Styela clava: one gene and its partner. The protein of the gene in region 2 purifies or fractionates together with the protein of the main gene of each other region. This does not show direct contact. Links are inferred from orthologs where the notes say so. Each region holds a gene or a part of one and is shown on either strand. Other genes may lie near its edges.

What was found.
Region 1: the proteins of E3 ubiquitin-protein ligase RNF13-like (region 2) and AP-3 complex subunit delta-1-like purify together in Homo sapiens (affinity purification with mass spectrometry; 3 studies listed by BioGRID and IntAct, counting the BioPlex papers as one, with this or other methods). This does not show direct contact. The link is inferred for Styela clava from reciprocal best matches to the Homo sapiens genes RNF13 and AP3D1.

What each region holds. Positions count from the first base shown.
Region 1 is NC_135250.1:30,759,734-30,772,759, reverse strand, and holds the start of AP-3 complex subunit delta-1-like, read right to left. Parts: upstream 4,831-13,026; 5' UTR 4,705-4,830; coding exon 4,603-4,704; intron 3,247-4,602; coding exon 3,151-3,246; intron 1,660-3,150; coding exon 1,579-1,659; intron 1-1,578. UniProt on the Homo sapiens protein: Part of the AP-3 complex, an adaptor-related complex which is not clathrin-associated. The complex is associated with the Golgi region as well as more peripheral structures.
Region 2 is NC_135262.1:2,537,125-2,549,959, reverse strand, and holds E3 ubiquitin-protein ligase RNF13-like, read right to left. Parts: upstream 5,653-12,835; 5' UTR 5,630-5,652; coding exon 4,079-5,629; 3' UTR 364-4,078; downstream 1-363. Other genes in the region: autophagy-related protein 9A-like, read right to left, coding at 194-311. UniProt on the Homo sapiens protein: E3 ubiquitin-protein ligase that regulates cell proliferation. Involved in apoptosis regulation. Mediates ER stress-induced activation of JNK signaling pathway and apoptosis by promoting ERN1 activation and splicing of XBP1 mRNA.

The DNA of each region.
Region 1 (13,026 bases), on a different chromosome or scaffold from region 2:
AAACTGAAATTTCCTTTTCATTATATCTTCAATACACAGCTCTATTTTACATAACGCAATACGCAAGTTGTCACGGGTATCGAGGCGATTGCGAGCTTAGTTTTGATAACCGTCAGTGCCAAATATCCTCGCTCGCACAAATGCCTTGTCGCGAATTGTAGCAACAGAGGCGTCCGCTGTCCGTCGCAAACACGACATCCTAGCTGGCCTTCGGTATCTCTCGCAATATACAACTTTTTACTCATCAAATGTGCACACACCGCTTCGTTCGCGGTAAATGGTGCCTCGAGATGAAGTCACATTTTTTCTAGATATTGAATAATCTAATGTCGAGAAGCGAGCTTTTTCATTGCGTCGTCTATTACAATTTACAATACCAAAACGACACCCATTTTTGGTTATTTTAATCCACTAAGACGACATTCCACGCGGTCAACACAACGTTGCATGGTTACCGTTACCATAAAAATAATACACGTGACTGGCATATCAGAATTGTGATGTAACAATGAGCTCAAGACAGTTCTTTCCGTGAATGAAATTTTATATTCCATTATTTTTAAATACCAGAGTTTGGAAGCTAAATTGAAACATTGGGAAATCTGAAAATTCGTCCGTCTCCTCTTAGATTGCCCTTGCATTAACGACCTTGTCGCGACCCATTTTTAAACCTTCCGCGACCCATGTTTGGGTCGCGACCCATGCTTTAAGAACCACTGTTCTAGGCAATACCTTCCCTCTTGTATACATTCAGTACGTTTTAAACCTTATCTAAGGTTTTGTTTGCTCTCCTGATTTCTTATACTTATATTTATCTGTATTAGTTGTCATAATGAAATGAATGCTTGACAAGACAGAGTACAAATATTTGTTAGGGCTGAACAAAGCCTTCTGTAAGCAACTACTCAAATATGAGGTGCTACAACTTTATCGGAAGGGCAGCGATCTTTCATGTTCAACTTTGGGTACCTCCGTAGTGCATGCGTACCAGGTAGTCCCTGCCCATAGGCTTCAGTCCCTTTACAAAACTTGATGTAAAGGAGGCGAACAAAATTACCTCCATATTGGTACACACACTCCTAGAGTGCCCAACATTGTCTATGTAATTCAATTAGGTGTTTTCTTAATACAGCTGTTTACTAGGTAAAAGAGACTGTCATGAGATATAAACAGCTTTACAGCAGTATCTAAATAATTCAGACATGATTGGTAACTTCTATGACAGGATAGCCAGAACCAAACAGTTTATCATTTCAACTACATTCTGTAATAATAATTTATTCTAAGCCGAATAATTTTTAATATAAAACAGTCAATTTCCATTTAATGAGATTGAATACGATAATGTCGGAGAGAATTGAGATGATTAATGATTTAATTGGCTTTCTCTTTTATAAAGTTTTAAGAAATTAAAAGTGTGAAAACTGTGAGACATGAATTGCTCAAAATGAATCTGAAATGAAAATATTTCTAAAATTTTTACACTGAATGATAGAATCTGCATTTACTTATGAATATCTACATTTTCCTACCCAAAATAAATTTGTGAATTAAATGCAATGCAACCATCGTACCAACCTTGAATGTGAACTTTGGTGAACTCATGACTTCGATGATATTGAAAGCTGCCCAACTGATGTCATACCCAAGCATTTGAAGCTGAAAAGAATAAGACAAAGTTAGGTATAGAGATGGATGTATCGTCCCATACACCATTTGAATTTCCTACCTCATACAGGGATATTATGCTTCCATATAAGCAGTTCTTTAGATATAGGGATGGATGTATGATCCTAATTACCATTTGAATTTCTGTATAGTGCTATACAGAGCTGCTATTGGGCTGACATAAACAGAAGGTTGATAATATGGTCCCAACCACCATTCAAATTGCCTCCCTGACTTGACTGCCATATAGACAGCAGGTAGGAATCGGGATGGATATGCGGCCCTACTCGCCATTTAAATGGCTTCCTCCATAGCAGGCTGCCTGACTGCCATATAGACAGCAGATTAGGAATAGGGATATGGCCTCCTCTATACAGGGCTATTGTGTTGTAATATAGACAGTAGATTATGGAGTATATTATGACCCTAATTGCTCGAATTTGAATTCGCTTGTTTTAATTAAACATGAATTCGCTTAAAGGGAACTCGGTTAACGAAAAGGCTTCTCTTTAATTCATAATATTAACCGGTGGAGCGCTTTCTCGAGTATCTATGCCGTTTTAAATGGGTTATATGAAAGGCTAGGGCACATAACTTGTGAAAATCGGCAAAAGCACTTTCGCACTTTTTTTTTCGACTGCGAAGCACTTTCGCACTCATAATTTGCTTAGAGTTAACACTGATGTGGACCCCATCGCTATTCGAATGGCCTCCACTATATAGGGCTATTGAGCTTCCATATAGACAGTAGGTTAGAAATGGAGGTGGATATAATATATCGAACCATATTATGGTCTCATAGATCAGGGCTACTCAACTATTTTCACCGAAGATCCGCATGCGAAAATTCAAAATTATTTGGGTCCGCACTTTCCAGAATTTATATATCGGCATCCTTAAACGCACACTTCCTCGACCGGCTAATGATTATTAGCTAATCAAAATTGCTTATTATGGTGTTATAGTTGTTTTCATATATATTCAAAACTATAAGTCATTTTATAAAAGGAAACTTCAAAAGTGGGGCTAATGATCTAAAATAAAGAATTAGGTGCGGTCCGAATCAAATACTCGAAAGGTTCGATTTCGGACCGCGGTCCGCCAGTTGAGTAGCCCTGTCATAGATCATTTGAATGACCACCCCTGCAATAGGCTATTAGGTTGATATATAGACAGTAGGTTAGGAATAGCGATGGATGTATGGCCCTAATCGTCATTTGAATAGCCCCCTCTGTGGAGGGCTATTGGGCCGTCATACAGACAGCAGGTTAGGAATAGGGATAGATATTAGGCCGTGGCATAACAGCTGGTTTGGTTTTTAGGGCAGTTATACAAGATGTAATGCGACGTATTATGTGAAGAATTGCCTTCATAAACTCATAACTTTGCTCAGATGTGAGTTTCCTTTACTTCTGAGTGAGGACAACCTTACTTTGAGGAAATATTTTTTAAAAAAAAATAATATATTAACCGGCAACTCACATAGATAAGCTTGTTAACAGCATTTGCCTTGATTGCCGCATTGTCTTGCTTCAGTTCACTTTTGATTTCTTCAACACAACCAGCGATGTAGCGAGACTGAATTACAAAAAAGTATGTTCACACTTTGGATAGGTCTCAATTAGGCTTAAGTCACTCTATTCGAGATCAACTTTAGTCAAGATTTATCAAACACATACTCTGAGTTGGTCATCAAAATGAAATGGCTCGAAGTTGACAAACCCCCAATGAGAATTAACTCAGTGATTGACTCGCCTCTAGTTGGAATCGAGTCACCTTTAATCAAATACTCAAGGTGACTCAAGTTATCTGAATAGAATGACTCGTAGACTAACTCTCAGTCCAGTCTGGAATTCATGACCTTTTTCCATGAGAAATCGGGTGCAATCAGTGACTGCAGCACTCCAAATGTCTGCATCCGCGTGCAAAATTACTAAAACTGCGTGAAAACCTAGATTCTCAGCGTGCAACTAACAGAATGGCCATATCGGAAAAACTTTGAATAAACAAGTGTGATAGGCTATTATTTTAACGGGGTGCTTTGACGCAGAGTTCCATCTAGCAAATGACGAAGGCGATCCGATTGCATATGCCAAAGGTCAATTAATCGAACAATTATGTTCAGGAAACAAAAAAGTCTCGCATTTCAAGAGAGGCCCATTTAGCTGTTAATCGGCGTGGGTTATGGCATGTTCTTGATGCCGAAAGGTCAATTTGTAATATTAAAACTCATCAGCACTGTTTATTGGTGGCTGTTTCATTCCACCACCCTCCAGACTGTCATATATAACGGTGGACAATCCCAAATTTTCCGGCGTGTAAAATGGAATTTCGCTCGCATGCATTTTGAGGGAGCATTAGCAAACTCAGGTGTGCACCTGCCATGGCATCCAGTCTGGTCCTCAGTAAGACTCAAATGTGATAGACTTAACAACAAATACTAGGATAACCTTTGACCTTACTCGGCTTGTGACTCTGGGTTTCAGTGCATATAAATTCACCAACAATAAATTTTTAGGGGGGGGGGGGGGGAAGTAGTTAATAATAAATGCTACTAGTTTAATTAACCACACAGTCATATTTGATAGTAGGTTCATGATTTTTTTTCTAAATTCAAGATATCTTGAATAAATAAAATGATAGATGAAAGAATAAAACTTTTCCATTATAAAATCAGAACCTTTCCAATTCTGCCTCGCCAACCCAATTTTATAATAAATGATTGATATTGAGTTTTAAAAATTAAAATTTATTCCCTGTCCATAACAGCAAGTCTCTGTACATATGTGCGAATTTTTTTCTGGTATGGTACTGTCCACCCAATTTATCACATAGGAAATGCATATTTGATTTTCAGCAATTTTCCCCTGGCTGAGAATTGCATTGCAATGACACAAAAAAAAAATTCAGAACACAAACAAACAAGACACAAACCTCCGACTCCTTATGATTCCGAATTCCTCTGACAAGATCCTGCATATTCTTATCAAACATTCGATCCAAACTTCCCTTCACTTTTTTCAGTGTAAGAGCCATCTTGCTGTTTTGTTCAGCTGAAACTCCTATTGATAAATCCCAACCAATTTTAATGGTGTTTTTTGCTGATTTAAAGACTAATTTATTTAGATTTTATTTTCAAATTTTACCATTGTAATTCCTGTAAACACTGATTAAATACAGACATTGGAAATATGCAGTTGAGTGATCCAAACTTCCATAAATTTTCCTCTTCCCTTCCCTTATAAAATATTAGACTATAACAGTATAATGTTAAGAACTGGTTCCACAATCGGGGCTCCCGAAGTATGCGAACCAAGATGGCGACATCAGAATGTAATATGTGTACTAGGTTAGGGTTAGGCCATAATTTTAGGTATAAATACTACGGGAGGCTCTTGGCTAGTCTTCGAACTGATAATAGGACTAAAATAAGGAAAATTGGAAAAAAATTATCGCCTAACCCTAACCTGTTACATTCGGATGTCCGCCATCTTGGTTCGCATACTTCGGGAGCGCCCCACAATCATTACATTAATTGTTATATATTCGTGGAAAAATTTATCATCAACATCTGAATTTTACTACCAAAACAGTCAGACAGTAGAGTTATATTATTAATATTTAAATTTGTTTCTTTTTCTTGTTTGCTTTTTTGTTTTTAGAGTATAAGTATAAGTATAAGTTTATTTCGACTCCATAATCAGCATAACAATACATTTGACAGATAAAAACAAATAAATAAAAACAAATAAATAAAAACTGATTATGAAATCAGGGGAGCAAACAAAACCTTAGATAAGGTTTATAACGTACAAAATATAAGATGGAAGGTTTTGCCAAGAGGAAGTGGTACGTGTTTACTCACCTAAAATTATTAAGTTATTTCACACACGCTCACATGCACCCACCAGCCACACACACACACAACCACTGAGAAGTTATTTAAGTAAGAATAAAACGCGATAAATTTAGGGTATACTATACAGTAAACAAAAAAAAAATAAATAAATAAATACTGAAATACTAGAAAAGAAAATTATCTGCCACACCATATTGATATTTTTGTAATGGTTGCCATTGCCAAATTGATCGATCTTCTAATCGTTAATTAAGATATAAAAGGAAGATTCTATTGAAAACATATTGCCAAGCTGATTATAGTTGGAGTCAAATTATAGTTGGAGGTAAGTTACGTCGTACTGTAGCACTCATACCGGTACTGTCGCTTTAAAATAAAATATCCGTCTATTAATCTACTTGTTACCAATACGGTACCGGTACATTGGCCGATTCGGCGTTATCTTCAGTTGTTAGCATTTCAGCATTTGCTGTGAAGTCTAAGATATCGAAAAGTCACATGAGCGCTTATCGGCACCGGTAGTTACATTTCCGCAGCGTTAAGTATCCTTGTGAGTACTTACTTATCATGTATTGAAACAGAGAAAATATCTTTTACAAATCAATGCATGAAAATGTTTAAAATCACAAAAAAAAATCGACGAAAATCAAGAAAAAATCGACCGGCGGATTGCGAACCTTTCCGCTTCATCAAGTTTCCGATTCGCCGTGGCAGAAAGGTCGTGAACTTTTATCAATAGTTTTTTGGGTATTGATCAGAGTCTAGTTTTCAAATTGACTCATGAAACTTGTAAATAGAAGGCAACAGTTCATTCTAAAAAATATATTTTATTCGTTCGCAAACATTAAAACAATACAATTTATAAAAATGAAATAAAGATTTAAAATGTTGAAGTCATCAAAGTCAATTACCACTCAAAGACAAATGCATAAATAAATAGTTGAACAGGTTTAAATAATAGGATGATTAGAAAGAAACTTTCCGTATGGGATAATTTGCATCGCGTAGCACAATAAGGGTATATTTCTCAAAGATTGACCTCCAATATATTGACGTTTATTACTTGCCAAAAATGGTTAAATATCGATCGAAATTTAACGTCAAAAATTATGATTGCCGTTATGATCGTCTAGCTCAGTGTCTTTTAATCGGAGTTCGATCAAACCTCTGAGTTTCGGTGAAGCCGTTACAAGGTGGTTCGACAATATCCTCTGAAATATTGATATATTATGAAGTTATATTTATATTATCAAACATATTATTTAAAAAGATAACTATAGTTAGATAAGATAAGTTTATTTCGACTTCATAATCAGCAAAAAGGCAATAAAACGGTTGATAAAAACAAATAAATAAAAACTGATTATGAAATCAGGAAAGTAAACAAAACCTTAGATAAGGTTTAAAACGTACAGAATATAAAATGGAAGGTATTGCCAAAAAGAAGTGGTGCATGTTCACTCACCTAAAACTATTGAATCAAATCGTACACACTCGCACACACACAACCATAGGGCAATAATCAAGTTAGAACTAAGAGAGAAGCTTTCAATCAATCAATCATTTATTTCATTACTCTGACAAAAAAGCAAAACAGCACAAAAAGTAGACGAACAAACAAAATGCAGAGATACCTGGAAAGCGAGCATAACTTAAAATAAAATTAAAAAACATCAAAGTACGCGCCCGCCCACCAAAAAAAAATTCCAACAATACAAAAAAACACGATTCAGAATCGTGCAATGCTTTTCAAGGGATCTTTGGATAAATTATATTATATGGCAACAAAAAATAAACACGTAAAGAAGAAATTAGAATAAAAGATAGGAAATATAATAAAAATAAGAATTGCTCGCCACACCATTTTAATAATTTCATAAAAATTCCCAAACAAGAGTGAACAGTATTTAATATAAGGACAAAAAAAAAGATTTCGCCAAGCTGATTATAATTGGAGTCAAATGCCAAATTGCCGACCAAAATTGCCAAAGTTGAGTGCATGAAGAGGTGGGATAAATCTTTTCATTTACCAAGGACACACCAAAATATTGCCAAATTGTAGTCCAGATTACATTAATTATTAAATATTACTGGTAACAGTTAAAAAGTATAATATAATTAGAATAGGGGTTCACTGATATCGAACTCTCACGTATAAACAACTCATGGACAATGTTAATTATGTGTTGTTTAGCGCAGATATAAGTGTTAGTGAACCTGCCAATGTCTGTTATAGTTGACATGGACAAACTACGACCCGTGGGACAAATCCGGCTTTTTGAGTAATTCAATATGGCCTGCATGATGCTGTTACAAACAAATTAAAATCAGAATTTTGATGTTCTAGCTAAAAATAGCTCTAGGAATTTGTTGAGATTTCGATTAAATTTAGTTTTGGCACGAGGCTTGTTTCCCACTTTTTCTTTTGTAACACTGCCAATAAAATTCTGTTCATGATATGTAACTTTTTACATCACACTTACGCGGCCCGCCAGTCAAGATGGGCAACATTTTTGACCCCTGGTTCAAAAGCCTTGCCCACCCTTGCTGTTGTAGTTGACAAGAATCTTTGAAGGCTGATACCTAAATGAATGGAGACATCAACGTTTTCAAACCTTTCAGCTTCGTGAGTTGCAATTTTATTAAGATTTTTTCGACCCGTATGACTTGTACAACAAAAGCGTCTTCTCACAAATACAAGTCAACGCCATTGTGGCCTAACAATGATTTTTCGACACAGCGTAATGATATCTAAGATTAATGGTCGTGGTGATACCAAGTTACAAGACGACTGAAACATTGCAATATCTCCCGGGCTGTTTTTTAGATGTTTTATAGTAAGATCTAGATAGGATAGGATTTACATATTTATCCAAGGGGAAGGAAAGCCCCTAAGACGGCTTAATCATATGGCAAACCACGGCCTCTTGTCCGGTTACCATTCCAAGTCGGGGATGGGATTATTTAGCCAGTTTTGGCAAGCATACCTTGATGGCAGAAGAAATCGGCCAGCAGTTTATCAACTCCGAATGATCTTAGATATCTGCTATGATGTTTACAATTTGGTATCCTGAGTCAGAGTCAAAAGTTTCCGTTCAGTTATGGGTGGTTCACGTAACCGCTGGTCGGTTACGGCTTCCTCCACCACCAAGTCCATAAGTATAAGTATAAGTTTATTTCGACTCCATAATCAGCAATAGACGATAAAAAAATAGATAAAAACAAAAGTAAAAGTAACTGATAACATGCTTCCGAACATGCTTCCGAAAACAAACAATATAACTAATCCCATACCTGACTTGGAATGGTAACCGGACGAGAGGCCGTGGTTCGCCATATGGATGAGCCGTCTTATCGGCTTTCCTCTCCCCCGGGATAAATATGTAAATCCTATCCTATGGATCGAAGTTTTTTTCCCCAAATCGTTTTAATGGCGGCTAGATGTCGCTACAGATCCAGTGCAAAACCATTTTCGAAGTTTTTTTAGATGTAACTTATCTGAATATTGCAGGATACAGGACGATAGATCTTAAAGATCAATACTTGTGTAATAAAATATGTGGATACGAATGATCAATATTATGGAATTTTTTATCTGTATGTAATGATCTATGTTATTATTTTATTTAATATCAAAAAAAAATATGTGGCTACATTAAATATACTGATATAGGCTAGGTAATTCGACTTGTTTTGTTGTCTACCAAGTCCTACAAGAGTGGTGACTCTTCTACGGCCCATGGGCCGGGGCCACGGCCCATCTAATTTGGCCACATAGCTTGATGGGCCACGGCCCCATCGGGAAAAATTCAATTATCTTACTGAAATTTTCAATTTTTACAGAATTGTCAATATTCGAACCGAAAAAAATTGCGAGATGCCACCAAATTTTTTTCTTACGATAAGCCTTTATATTTAAAATAAGCAAAATACCAAGCAACAGAAAAGAATACTCCTGTAGTATGTGTACCACCACTGTGAAGCTAGCAGCACTTTCAGCCAGAATATTTTTATACATTGAATATAGGTTCCACGCGCATATATTGTTCACTTATAAGGTAAATATGAAAATTGAAAATGCTGATCAAAATATAATATTGGCACGAAAATAGATGAAAAATTCTTAAACTGAATGAATACATTAAATTTAACAAGAAATTAGTGTTTAAAAAAAGACTAACTAAGCGAAAAATGAATTTTCAGGTATTCCGCAAATACGAATTTTCGGAAAATTATCCTTTTCGGAACCTCGATTCCTCGAAAACCGCCAATAAAGGCAGCACCACGACACATTTGGAAAAAAGCAGATACCCTATAAATTCGATTTTTCTATAACAGAACAGTAGCAGTACGTTTTGGCTTGACCATATATATTACCAAACATATCGTGTAATCTAAATTTTAATAACGGCATGGACGTAACAAATTCAAATTGATTTTGTATTTCAAATAAATTTGCTAGATAATGGATAAAATATCATTTTCTTTTTGTCACACATTAATACTGTACATCTTTTAAACTTGGAATACGTTGCGGGAAGTATAAAACAGCAAAAAATCATTTGCGACTCCTAGTGAATTCTGTCCTGGATTACAAAAAATTATCGTTTTTAAAATGGCGATTTTTCGAAAACCGCCAATAAAGGCAGCACTACGACATATTCGGATAAAAGCACATACATTATAGATTCGATTTCATTATGCCAGAACAGTAGCAGCACGTTTTGACTTGGCCATATATAATACCAAACATAGCGTATATTCCTCGATTTTTAAAACAAAGGTACGTAACATATTAAAAAAAGGTTTGTATTTCAACTAAAGTTGCAGGATAATTGATCAAATATCTTTTTCTCTTTGTCGCACATCAATACTGTACATTATTAAAGTTAGAATAAGTTTCAGAAAGTATAAAATAATAATAAAAAAAATTTTGCGCACCCCCTTGAATTAGTTTGAGAATTTCAAAAATTATCGTTTTTGGATTGGTGATTTCTCAAAAACCGCCAATAAAGGCAGCATCACGACACATTCAGAGAAAAGCACATACCTTATAGATTCAATTTTATTATGTCAGAACGGTAGCAGAACGTTTTGACTTTGCCATATATAATACCAAACATAGCGTATACTCTTCAATTTTATTAACAATGTGGACGAAACAAATTTAAAAAGGAATTGTATGTCAACTAAATTTGCTGAACAGTTGATAAAATATATATTTTTCTCTTTGTCACACATTAATACTGTACGTCTATTAAACTTAGAATGAGTTGCAGAAGAAAAGTATAAAATACCAAAAAAACATTTTACGCCCTCTCGTGGCTTCTTTCAAAATTTCGAAAAATTATCGATTTTGGAAGGGGAATTTCTCGAAAACCGCCAATAAAGGCAGCACTATGACACATTCGGAAAAAAGTATATACCCTATAGATTTGATTTCACTATAAAAAAACAGTGGCAGCATGTTTTGACTTGGCTATATATAATAATACCAAAATAGCGTGTATTCTCAGTTTTATAAACATTGTCGACGTAGCAAATTTAAGATGGATTTGTATTTCAACTGAAGCTGCTGGAAATTGATCAAATATATTTTTCTCTTTGTCACAAATGAATACTGTACGTTTATTAAACTAAGAATTAATTGGGAAAGTTTAAAATATAAAAAAAAAACATTTTACGCTCTCTATAATGGGTTCTTTTCTGAATTCCGAAAAATAATCGTTTTTGAAAGGGCGATTTCTCAAAAACCGCCAATAAAGGCAGCACTACGACACATTCGGAGTAAAGCAGATACCTTATAGATTTGATTTCATTATGTCAGAACAGTAGCAGCACGTTTTGACTTGGTCATATATGATACCAAACATAGTGTGTATTCAAAATGTTATAAACAATGCAGACGTAACATATTTAAAAACCGTTTGGTATTTCAACTAAATTTACTAGATAATTCATCAAACATCATTTTCTTTTGGCATACATACATACTGTACGTCCATTAAACTTGGAAGGAGTTGCGGAAAGTAGGAAATACCGAAAAAATCATTTTACGCCCTCTTGTGGATTTTTTTCGGAATTTCAAAATAATATCGTTTTTGAAGGGGCGATTTCTCAAAAATTGCCAATAAAGGCATCACTACGACACATTCGGAGTAAAGCAGATACCTTATAGATTTGATTTCATTATGTCAGAACAGTAGCAGCATGTTTTGACTTGGCCATATATAATACCAAACATAGTGTGTATTCAAAAAGTTATTAACAATGCAGACGTAACATATTCAAAAAACGTTTGGTATTTCAACTAAATTTACTAGATAAATTATCAAACATCTTTTTCTCTTGGACATACATATATACTGTACGTCCATTGAACTTGGAATGAGTTGCGGAAAGTATGAAATAACGGAAAATCATGTTTCGCCTTCTTGTTGATTATTTTCAAATTTTCAAAAAATTATCGTTTTTGAAATAGCGATTTCTCGAAAACCACCAATAAAGGCAGCACTACGACTCATTCGGAGTGAAGCAGATACCTTATAGATTTGATTTCATTATGTCAGAACAGTAGCAGCACGTTTTGACTTGGCCATATATAATACCAAACATAGCGTATAATTTTCAATTTTATCAACTATGTAGATGTAACATATTTAAAAACGGTTTGGTATTTCAACTAAATTTACTGGATAATTCATCAAATACTTTCCTCTCTTGGGTATACAACAAAACTGTACGTTGATTAAACTTGGAATTAGTGTGCAAATCTTAAAATGCCAAAAAATGATTTGACGCCCTCTTGTGGATCCTTTTCGGAATTTCAAAAAAATATCGTTTGTGAAAGGGCGATTTCTCAAAAACCGCCAATAAAGGCAGCATTACGACACATTTGGAGAGAAGCAGATACCTTATAGATTCGATTTCAATGAGTCAGAACAGTAGCAGCACGTTTTGACTTGGCCATATATAATTCCAAACATAGCGTATATTTTCAATTTTATTAAAAAATGTAGATGTGACATATTTAAAAACGGTTTGGTATTTCAACTAAATTTACTGGAAAATTCATCAAATACTTTCTTCTCTTGGGTATACAACAAAACTGTACGTTCATTAAATTTGGAATTAGTGTGCAAATCTTAAAATGCCGAAAAATGATTTGACGACCTCTTGTGGATCCTTTTCGGAATTTCAAAAAATTATCGTTTTTGAAAGGGCGATTTCTCGAAAACCGCCAATAAAGGCAGCACTACGACTCATTCGGAGTAAAGCAGATACCTTATAGATTTGATTTCATTATGTCAGAACAGTAGCAGCACGTTTTGACTTGGCCATATATAATACCAAACAGAGCGTGTATTCAAACTTTTATAAACAATGCAGACGTAACATATTTAAAAACGGTTTGGTATTTCAACTAAATTTTCTAGATAATTTATGAAACATCTTTTTCTCTTGGACATACATATATACTATTCGTTTATTAAACTTGG
Region 2 (12,835 bases):
CCAATATCTAGCGGTATGTTAGAAGCTGCTATTTTTCAGAAAATCCGGGATCTTCACGGTTTAACATTGCCAACCCAATTTATCACACCTCGGGTGACGCGGGGGGCATGGGGTTTGACCTCAAGATGAGTAGCAGTTAAGTCTAACTCTTTATCCGTAATGCCAACTACCCACAAATTATCCTAAATTATACCTTTATTTCCATCAGGAACATGAACCAAAAATGCTTGTCCATCAGGAGGGGAATCCCCCTCCCCATCTTCCTCTTCAGTTGAATCCAAACGTCGATAACTAGTTTCTAAATTCGACATTTTTATCTCCCCGGGAAAAATCGAAATGTATTTTTAAATTTCAGAAAACACATCTGAGAAAATTAAACATGGCGAAAACTGTTAGATTTCAGAGATTATAGAAGTAATAATATAATGGATATTTACAAGAAATCGAAAATACGAAACAAGTTAAAATCATCATCACATAATAATATAAGGTGCTCCCAAAGTATGTGTACCAAGATGGCGCACAACCTGAACATAGTTATGTATACCAGTCTAGGGTTCAGGTTGTGCGTCATCTTGGTACACATACTTCCGGAGCATTTAATATAATCAATTTCAAAACAATTTTTTTAACAATCAGGGGTCATAGGACACTTGAATTTAATCATTGAAACAATATTATAAACACAATAGGATTCTGCAGCTGTCCCAGGTGATTTGATGATTTAAATAATAATATTACAAACATTTCACTCTTACTTGACCTTGAAAAGATTCATTCCCATGTATACCATTATCTATAATTTGTTTACCCCCCAAATTGATTTTGAAGTTATGTAGGCTATATGGGGCAGCAATATCACAAATTCATCCTGGACACAGAAAAGTTTGACAAGCTACTGGCCACAATCCACAGGTAGAAGCTAAGAGTTGGAAATCGAGAAAGTTTGAGAACAACCAAGCTAAAGACTCAAAATTTATATTTACGATTCAAGCGATAACATGAAAACATTGAGGAAATGTTTGCTAACTTTTTGGGATTTACTGTTTGTCAAAGAACTAAAAATAAATGAGTGAAAACATGTCATATAAATGAGCAATCAATAATTTTAACAATTGAATATTCCGGCAGTCGAATGGAAACCACTGACTTTTAATAATTAACGGATGAAAAAAATAATCATAGAAATATATAATTAACAATATCCCATTGAATTCAAAAACTCAGAAAATGAGATAATGGCAAGGAGTCTATGTAATTTCAATGCAACCAAATGAATGTGAGCAAACTTAAATTTATTGGTATACCAAGCACACACACCAATGAAGTGTCAAATACATATGCACAAATAAAGTCACAGACATTTGACTGTTATTTCAACCATTTATTATACAGGATGTCTATAAAGTCCCTTTACAACAGGGGTCTCCAACACGCGGCCCGCGGGCCGCATGTGGCCCGCCAGCCAGTGATTTGCGGCCCGCGTCATGGTTGGGATTTTTCCACAAAAAACTAAAATAGTACCATGTAAACTATTAGTAGGTTTTATTGTGTCATTTATCATCAAGAGTCCGGTCCGACAAACTGTAAAAAGCGAAGCAAAATTCCCCCCTGTTGTCCACGTTCATGTTTTATTATATTGTTATAATGCAATTATGAATGCGATAATTTCATTTCGCATGTTCATTGTGACAAAATAAGCGAGTTTCGGTCAGTCCATTGTGCCCGAAGAAAGGTTTGCAAAGCTAATTGCACATTCACTTTGCATACCTGCGATTTTTGGCAATTCTTATATATGAAAGTTAGCAAGTCTGCCCTCCGCACACGACTAACGGACGAGCATTTGCATATGAATGTGTTTCATGTCTCGTTTGCTGTAAGATTCAAGTGTAATTTTAACACAATACATTCAGATACCCATTTTTGTACCTAATTTCTTGGTTTGCGGCCCGCGTTTTCAATAAATTTCAAAAAGTGGCCCGCGACATGTTTTGAGTTGGAGACCCCTGCTTTACAATTTCAATTTTGTTATGAAGTAAGTTCTCAGTATATTCTGTTTTTTAATCAGTTATACATCTGTGAGGGCCAAAACAATATATGGTATCGATGAATTCCCTTCTTTGCAATTTAACACCCTATTTATAATTCACATATTACAATTCAGAATCAATTTCCCAATTCAAAATCTTTAGATGAATAAAGGATATTGTATATTCTGGTCCATATTCTGAAAATTTCTCAATAGTATAGGTCAGGGGTGCACAACACGGGTAAAAAAAAAATTATTTATGATATACATTAAAATAACACGTTTATATCAAAATCAGCAGTATTTCAGGACATTAAATTGTTTCAACAAATAGATATCCGTTATTATGTATTATTATTGAAATTTGTTTGTTTTGCGGGAGTTAATTTACAATACCACAATTGTGCGTGGCACGCGACAAGATTATTCTGAAAAATTTGGCACGTATCCTCATTTGAGTTGTGCACCCCTAGTACAGGTGATGGAATAGACCTTATGCCATGACAAATACACCTAGCATTAACATGACACTTTGATAAAATATTCAAGAAAAAAAAACAAAAAAGCAATCAATCACGCCAGAAAATGACTACCTGTTCACTGCTGCATTCATGTGACAAAGCAACCTCTCAAGCATTTCAACTAAACATGGCCATAAAAAATATAAACCAGAGTGTGAAAATATTAAGATATTTTGAATTTGAAAACAAATTTTTCAATATTAGGAACAAACAGAAAAAATGACTAAATATACATCAGAATTCAAGATTCATTGATGTGAATTTTTCGAAATAGATTTAATATAATATTCACCAAGACCAGATCGATGGAACCCCCAAAGCAGGGGAGCAGCAGGTAATTTTCAAATGGAGGGGAGTCAAATTTTTTGTCAATACCAGGTTATTTTTTAGCTCAGATATGAAAATTGTAGACTTCCAATCAAAAACTTCCAATTTCACTTCCAATTAAAAAAGTTTGTTAGCCAAGGGGAAAATATAGTTTGGAATTAGAGTCAATCTGGTTGTCAACCAGAGATCTGAATCAGTGGTTACCAACCTTTTCTTCAAACGACCCAATTTTTTTAAAAATAAACTTTGTAAAACCTCGCGATCCAAGGATATGCTCAAATACTAAACGACATGTAATACTTTTATAATGGCATAATTAAATGACTTATATGAAACAATCATTTTTCATAACCCAGTTCTGTGTCGTGACTAGGGCTGGGCATTTTCGAATACCTTCTGATTCCAGAATCGAATCGAATAATTTTTTCGAATCGAATCTCGAATACTTGGAAATATATAATTGTAAGCGACTTTTTTATAGTAGTTGGTCCTCCAAATGATTTACTGAAGACATAGAATACATCACTCAGATAGATTACTGAGCGTTCACACACAATAACAAACACGTTTTATCAATAACTCATTACAGAGAATAGTCATATGTTAGAATTGCGTTGAAAAATTATGACTTCAATGAACAAAAAATGAGGAATTCACCTAGCTAGATCATTGGCAAAAAGAAAAAAACAAGATGGCGGCGATTTGAAATTTTGCTCTGAACCGATTCGAATAATTTACTATGCAATTCGACCGGAATATTCGATTCGAAATGTCCAGCCCTAGTCACGACCCATAGGTTGAGAAACACTGATCTAAACCAATGCCAGCGTCCTTTATTAACACATATGGAACTTTTTTTAACGCTCCAGTAGTGAAACAAGATGGCGGACACCTGAACATAGTATGTGTACCTGGTTACGGTTAGGCAATAATTATATACCAAATTTCCCTTATTTTAGTCCTATTACAAGTTCGGGGACTAGCCAAATGACTTACGTTGTATTAGTATCTGAAATTATGGCCTAACCGTAACCTGGCCCACATACCACGTCTCGGTGTCCACCATCCTGGTTTACATACTACAGGAGTACCTTTTTATCAAATACAGAGTTTCTTGAGCTGTATTCGATTATTAAATCATGCCATAAAATTGCAATATACACTGATATTTGAGAATAATAAAATGAAAGAGTTAATATAATCAGACTTCACTATTGTCATCAAATGTAGTTGGAACCTTTGAACCCTTCGCGATAACAATGATGTCATCCTGATCAGTACTGTTGCCAGATGTTGAAGCAGTTTCATCATTTTCTTCGTGGTGGTGGGCGGAGTCAATATTTGTAGCGGTGGTGATAGAAGATCGTGAAATAGTAACAGATTCATTGAGACTATGGAAATCTTGTGAACAATATGAACTAGACCCTAGCGAGGAACCGTACTGTTCTATGTCGGATAGAACTGCAATAGAGGATTCGGAAACTCTCGGACCTGTCATCATTGCTTCTGCGGAAGTCAGTAAATCGTCGGGTTCCATTGCTGGATTCATAAGACCCATTGTGACATCACGATCAGGTTCTTGATGTGTCGTTACAAGTTGCTGACGTTCATAACCCCTTGACGACTGTGGAACTTCAGTATCACTAGAATCGGGCATTGAACCTTTCCAGTGGGAACCATGGGTTAACACAGGAGCAACCTCAGTGATATCTGTGCTAGTATCAGATGAAAAGCTGTGGTTACGAGGCCTCCTAGTGATCGGATTTCGGGAGCCGTAACCAGTCGCAAATCTTGGTGAATTTGGGGATGAAGCAATAGAAGAACGAACTAAAGGAGTCTGTTCATCGTCGCTCGTATCGTTTGATTCATCCGATGAGGAATCACTTTCATCGTCGCTGAGGACACGACGTTTACATAACGGACAAACTCGCCTATTGCTTGTTAACCAGGGGTCTACACATTTACAATGATACGCATGCTTACAAGGTAGAATCCTCAAAACATCACCTTCTTCATAATCTTCGAGGCATATAGCGCATACATCATATTCATCTCCTTTGTCAAATTTCTTGACTGGTAATTTCTTCAAACGCTGTAACGATAACCTGCTACGCCGTGTTCTGCGTCTATCTCTTACACATTTAACAAGCATGAAACATAAAAGCGATACAAAGCAAATCCCAATAACGACAATAAATGGGACAAGATAATAGTCTAACGGATTAAAAGAACCTTCGTAAATTTGCACATATGGTGTTCCAGGTTTATCATAAAGATATGTCGTGTTCATTCTCCGAGCTGAACTTATTCCGACAAAGACTGCAGGTATTGTAAGCTCGTTTGTAATAGAGGGAAACCCACTGCTCATTCTTACTAGAGTATCAGAATTAGTGTTATGTACTATAGCGGCTTGGAATCCAGCTCTTTGTGCGTTATATACTTTAATTCCAAAATCACAACCTCCACGAGTTATTAAAGCATAGCAAGATATACTTATATTATCCGGATTGTCACTGGGTCTAAACGGGGGTGATTTCATTGGGTTACATCCGTCATATGGTTCTCCTCTTACAAGTAAACCGATCATACCCCCATCTTCAATACTCGGACCAAATCCGGCCTCCATATCAGCAAACTGGTCAGTCTCATTGAATTGGTCGAAAGCGTATATGGTTGCATTTGTACTGTCAAATCCAACCATGATAATCCATAATATCAAGACAGAAATATTGAAATAATTATGAAACCTCATTTTTAGGTTATATTTTGCCTAAGCAGCTGTAAAACAGAAAGTTTTTTTCAATGGATACTGCACAAATATCTTGGATGAAATAAAAATTTCAAAATATGTTCTGAAATATTTTAGAGTCATTAATATTTTGTCCGATTCCAAGAATAGCCATTAATTAAAACAGTGAGTGCAAACCCCTCCATTACAAGACAGTCTGGGCCTCCATATCGGCAAACTAGCAATGCCTGATTGCGCTATAAATTAAATTAAAAGAAAGCAAAAACTAAAAATGTTTCGTGGATTCCATGCATCTGAAACAAATAACTGCAGAACTGGCTGACTAATCCCATAGAGGAGGGTATGTGCAAAAATATTGCTGGATTACTCGTCGCCCTAGGTTGGATCACTTAACCGCTGGTCGGTTACCGGTATGGCTTCCTCCACCATCAGACCATCAAGTCCATTCATCTGATTACTAGCATACCGGTACCGGTACCGGCAAACTAATCCTGTAATCCAGTAATCCAATGCCTGACATGCACTAGTAACTGGACGAGAGGCTGTGATTCTCCAAATGATGAAATGACCTACGGTATCTTATTTCTACCCATGATAAATACTGAAATATGTAAATCTCTCCCAACTTCAGAACTTTGAAGCCCTCAGTCCAGCAGTCAGTCACTGCTCGGCGTTTCACGTTCCTTCTCACCCGTTAATACCTTCAAGGGTAAAGAAGACATAAATAACTAAATCACGAAATTATAAGATAAACAACCAGAAGTACATAACTCTCTAATAATTATTTCATTACTCAAAAAATAGCCGACGACAAAACGAAAAGAAAATAGCAACAGACAAAAGTAGAGAACCGACCTTTGTTTTGATCCCATGAGAAAGATTAAATTATGTTCACACACAGGAAAATGACATGTTCCCAAGTGTATTAAAATTGATTTCAATAGAACTGAAATGCAATAATTGCTTAGTTTAATTATTTAAATTGTATTTTATAATTTGAATAGTAATAATCATTCAAGTATTTTGCTGCTTCATACATGTATACACATTTTTTAAGTAAATAAATTTACAAGGGAACATATAATTTATCATAGTATAAATTAGCTGAATTCAACCTTAATGAGGAGAAGTTAATGACGTAACTAACTCGAGTTTTGGTTTCGCTTAGTATTTTGCCCACAGTGCGGAAGTACTTAATAGATACGTTTGAACGTTTTTTCTTAATAATCACATGTGGAAAGCCCAAATAAATCTAATTCAAATGACAAATCGCGGCCCCCTAGTGGGGTTTTCGGCCCGATACTTTTCTGCTATAGGCCCACCACTAAGGTTTCCGATCTTCTCGTCTCGGTGGTGTGGCTCATCGTGCTAAGCGTTAGGAATACGCTAGCTACCGCACATCTGATTACACTGCGTGTGTTTGCAACACTATGTCCAACATTGAGTGGTGAGCGCCGAGAGCCTATCAGAGAGAGTAGATATGTCCAAACATCACATTCACTCGATGTCAACAACAGCAAAATGGATACATACGAATTTTACCTGGTGCGTGCCATAAAAGTAGAGACTTAGTTTTCAAGCTAGGAAAGTGGTTCACAACATATTTTGATACATTCATGACCATTTCACCCCCACAAAGATCAATTTTTAATAGATTACTAGATAGCAATGCTCTCAACTAGCGTCGTCTTTTGGCAGTTTGTTATCGCGTGCATAAATAGGTATTACATTAATACTGCACAAGTCAAAAATATTATATAAATAATACACGCAAATACAGAGATAAATGTCCAGACGTTGTTTTAGTTTTCCACATGTCAACAAAAGTGTATCTATTTAATTTACATCAGTTCTGACTACTTTGCTAAATCATTATTTCTCGCGTGACACGAGTTTAAACCCCTGAATGTATTATTATTCTCACTGCAAAATATCTAGAATTTTCTCAGAATAATAACATAAAACGTGTTTTATTTAGGCGCTCCGTGAATTAAAAATACCAATACTTGTTTTAGTGGCGGACGGTATTAAATCTCCCCAGGCCATATAACCAAGACTGGTCAGGTACAATATAATTCAAACCCTGCTTCATACTCGATTGAAACATTTTCATGCATTATTTAGGCCTTTGATAATTTCGTCGTTTGAATAAAAACTATACTTGATCACCTATTACAGGTTGGTCCAAGGTTGCAAGATTGACGGGCCGGAAACAATTTTGTGGAGGCCTTGCCCAAATATGATCAAAATACTGCTAGTTTACCTACTTTGAATATATATCAAAGCATGAGAGTTTACCGTTATAACCAGGTGCATGATGGAGTTTTTTTATTTTAAGTAATATATATAAAGTACAAACAAAATAACAAAACAATTGTTTCTTGATTTTGGCTACTGCTTCAGATCTGCACCGCATTGATGTTTATGGATACAACCTTGAAATTACTTGATTTCAACAGATATATATGTTATTCTCGAGATCGGGATTAGGAAAAAGGTTTAAATCTCAGGAACTTAAATTGGAATATCCCCCCCCCCCCCCAAAAAAAAATAAAATTTTCTGCCAATAAATACAAATATCTGCCAATGGTTTAGTAGTGTAGGGGAAGGTGGGGCACGTTGGGACATGGGGCACAGTGGAGAATCAGCTCTCACACTGATACTGTATCCGCAATCCTGTCCGCGGTTCGATGTTTCAATCCGCCCTTCGGTGAGTTATAACGTCTCCGCGAACGGACAGAGGACGGTAGAGCGGCGCAAGCTATGAGGTGAAATTGGTTTTGAGAGGTTGAAACTAAAATTTCACCGTTCCAGTTTTTTCTTTTTACTACTTTAGCCTTTCTAACATGACAAACCACCGTCTGATATTTTTCAGCTTTAGTCCATTGTAAAATATTCATGACGTTGGCGAGTGGATGTGCCTTCCGAATTTCGACGTGGGATGGTCTGAAAATGTTTGTTTATTATGGGGAACAATGGACCGGGGTTCAGTGGGACATGCCCTACAGGGCACAATTGGACAGTGTTTGATACAATAAGTGCTTAGAGACCTAGAGATGCGTTATATTTTGTGTAATGTTATGATTTCTTTCAACCCATGGCCCAATATGAAATATTTTCGAGGATCAATAATATTTCCAGATTTAGATTCGAGGAAGGAAATAATCAAATTTGTTTGCGAAAGTTTTTGTCAAAATATCTGAACTATTTCAGTTGAATATTGATTTTAAAAATATTAAATCTTCAAATTTGAAGTCTCATTGTTCTTTAGACGAATATGCTCATTAATTGTTATTTTTAAGGGAATACTTCGTTGAATTTTGACAGATTGACCCATTGTGCCCCAGGGTCTGTCCGAATGCGGCCCACAAGTGACCAAATACCATATGATTACGAAAATTCGCTGCTTGTCAAGAATGTACTAGATCTTTCTGGTCTAAATAAAATCTCCTTTTAATCCCACTTTTTTTTTAAGACTTTTTTAGTCAAACCTTACGTTTTGGAAGAGGTGTCTACACATGCGGTTTTCACATGCGAGTAAACCGAATCAAGCAGGACCCACTGTCAATTGTTATACACAGGAATGTTATGGCCGCATATTTAGCGAAATTAGATAGTTGTGTTTAGCTCCATAAACATACTCATTGTGGATTCATCGAGATTATGCTGCATCGGAACGGATATTGTGCTTACCTTTCCAGAACCCCCAACTGAAAACTCGGATTGTAAATTCTGTCGTCCTATGAACGTAGATGCATATTTTCGAACAGAGCCAAACTTAAAATGTGGATTGCGATGCCCACAATTAAAGGGTGAGGGAAAACTTGGATATTTTGTACAAAGCCCTCACCCCGCAAGGTTTTGAAATAATAAATAATAAATTATCCAGTTAGCGATAGAAATGATTCAAAAATTTAAATTTCCATCGCAATCTGCATTCCTATCCGTTACCAGATAACTTCTAATTTTCTTATTCCAGGGGGCTTTCTGCTTTCTTCCCAAAGCGAGGCAAAATGACAACTTGGATTGTCGCACCTGTATCCAAAGAAAACTTTGTCCAGGGCGAGCCAAACTTTAATCTGACTTTATTATTGAACAGAGAGCGCAAAATGAGACGCTTACTCGTGCTTTTTGCTACGAACAAACCCAGATTTACGCCGCCTGCGAACTGAATGACACAGGAGACCAGTGGTACGTTGCTAACATAGCTTGACTTGGTGGCGGAGGAAGCCGTAACCGACCAGTTGTTACGTGAACCACCCTACGGCGGCGGCGGCCAGGCCAGTATAACTCTCGCACTTAATTATCCTCCAGGAGAGGGTAATCAGAGGTGTGATATTCCCAGCGCTTAGGCCGCCAGGCCATTTAGTGTGGCTCTTGTCAACACTAAATTTTCCCCCATTACTGCCATTAGGCATAAAATCCGAATCCGACAGTTTATGTTTAAAAAAGCGCTTACATGGATTAAAATACATAAATGATTTTTGCTATCGTTGCTGCATGAGATATTTCGCTGCTTTGCCCTGCGCATTTTTTACTGCAAGGATGAGCGATATCCGCTTTCTTTTCTCTTACCTTTCCCCCTAGTTTTTTTGCGTGGCGGGGCTAGATGTCTGGAGTTTATTACACGGCCCGCCGATAAAAATTGTTGCACACCCCTGACACATCACGATGCGCCATACCGCCAAGCAAATTTCTCCGTTGAACATAACCCAATTAAAAACATATTGGAAATTCTGTATTCAAAATATATTGCTTCTGGAATAGGACCTATTTTCTGAAAGAGTGAAACTCGGCGCTGTGGCGCACCGTGCTAAGCATTAGGAATACGCTCGCCACCGCATCTCTGATTATTCTGCGTGGGTTCGAGGGCCATGCGGGATTAATTATGTGCGAACGGATTGCGCACTCGTGCTTTTTGCTACGAACATACCCAGATTTACGCTCGCGAACTCCTCGTCGCCGTAGGGTGGTTCACAAAACCGCCGGTCAATTACGGCTTCCTCTACCATTAAGTCCATGCGTTCGAGAACTAATAACTGGCTATTCAATTTCATACCAGACATGGACTGGCAACCAAACGAGAGGACGTAGTTAGCCATATGATTATACCGTCTTGTCGGCTATTCTCTCCCCCCGGAAGATAAAAGTGTAAATCTTATCCAACCCACTGCCCTTGCTGCCGATTGCATATTCGAGTACATTGTTCACAACACTTTTATTTGATAAATTTCATGCGGTCACCGTACGTCGCAAAGCATGCAACTGTAAGTAGAAGAACAATAATAAAGAACAACAGATCATTAGAACAACATTGTTGGGCCATTTGCAGCTAAATATTATTTTTATTCTTGATGGGAAGGAGCAGCCCTGTTTTTTTTTATTCGGTAGTTTGCACACTTTGATTCTAAACAAAGCTTCAAGCAAAAATGAATCTTTATTGCTTGCATTATTTCTTATACCGTGAGTTCTCAACTAGTGGACCACGGACAACTGCTGGGCCATAGAAACATTTCCAGGTGGGCTACAAACGTATTCAATATTGCCGGAGTTAAGTAAATGAAAAAGGTTTTATGGGTCTCATATAGTTTCGTACCTAACGTATTTCTAGTGGGCGTAGCATATCAATATTTTGATATGTCAATCCTAACCCCCATCTGACTAGCCATCCAAAAATTACGTCACTACGACATCACAATCACGTCATAGAGCTTGCCGAATATACGTATAATCGGCCGAAATGGCATCGGCGCTGACAATAAAGAACTGTCTGACGTTATCGATCTCTCTCCTATTGGAATCGTTGTGACGAGAAAAAATAGCTGTTCAATTTCGGGTGTTCGTCCGCGCCTATTGGATGGCAGTTCGTATAGTTTGAAGGGTCATTGTGACGTCGTAGTGACGTAATTTTTGGATGGTGTGGTCAGGTGAGGGTTAGGATTGACACATGAAAAAATTGTCATGCTACGACGACTAGAAGTATGTTAGGTAAGAAACTACATGAGATCCCATGAAAGATAAAGGGTTAAGAACCACTAGCTTATACCCAATTTGTTACATCCTGCATCAACTGGTGGGCAAGGGGGTAATGCACTTCTTCTTCAATTTAGGATGTCAAGTAAGCCCAGGTGCCTAATTTTTATGCGTGTTTTCACACTGCCAATATGAACAAGGCACCAGATAAGCAGCTTCTGATATGTACGAAGCTATCATACATTTGGAATCATCTACATAAAAGCCAAAGGCGAAGTGGTATCGGAGTTTGAATCCGATTTTTATACCCAATAACCCACCAAAGGCCGAATGCACCAGATTGTGGTGGTGAAGTAGGCGCGCTATGAAATAATAACAAAATAAAGAGACCTTCATGCCGTTAAATCTCCTACATAGGGTAAATAGCTGCAAATAGCCTAACAATACAATTCAAGAAAAACAAACATACGAGTTATGATAGCATAGAATGAATAAACAATGAATGAACGACAAAAAAATTAGCGATTATGGGAATTTACTTTGAATCAATGTTACAGATCCTCTTTGAGAGAGGCTATTGGGACAGGACCAGCCCACTACTGATTAGGATTGGGGGGTTAATATCATTACCCACTAAGCATTACCCCCATTACTGGAACATTAGGTTTTATGATAAAAAAAATAAATGGGAATATTGACTACGGTAATTACCTTTGTAATAATGTCAAGAGTATACAAAAAAATATTTGAAAAGCCTTTTCTTGCACGAGTGATAACTGAATACAAAACACTAAACGGGGAAACCCCTCGCTTGTTGTAAACACAAATTACAAAAGGGGAAAACCCTCGCTTGTCTTGAACAAAAATTATAGTTTCAAGCTTTTTTGAAGACGTTCTGACACCTCAGAACAAGTCTCTAGAGAAGCTTCCATTAATACATAAGGAGCGGGGGCGCAGCCAGGTGGGAGGAGGGGAGGTTGCGTTGAGTGTCTAAACCCCTACCCCCTTTTTGAAATATGAAGAAAAAAAAACGCCACTAGGTGATACAGTCTAACTCGGCAATTGGAAATTTCAGAAATCCCTCTCCTTTTAAAATTCCTGGCTACGCCCCTAATATAGAGCTACTATGATAGGATAAGTTGCAGTAACAAGTATAAAATAAACAAATTGAAACATTAGATTCGGATTCTAACTACATTGCCTATAGAGCAGGGGTGTGCAACATTTTTTGTCGAT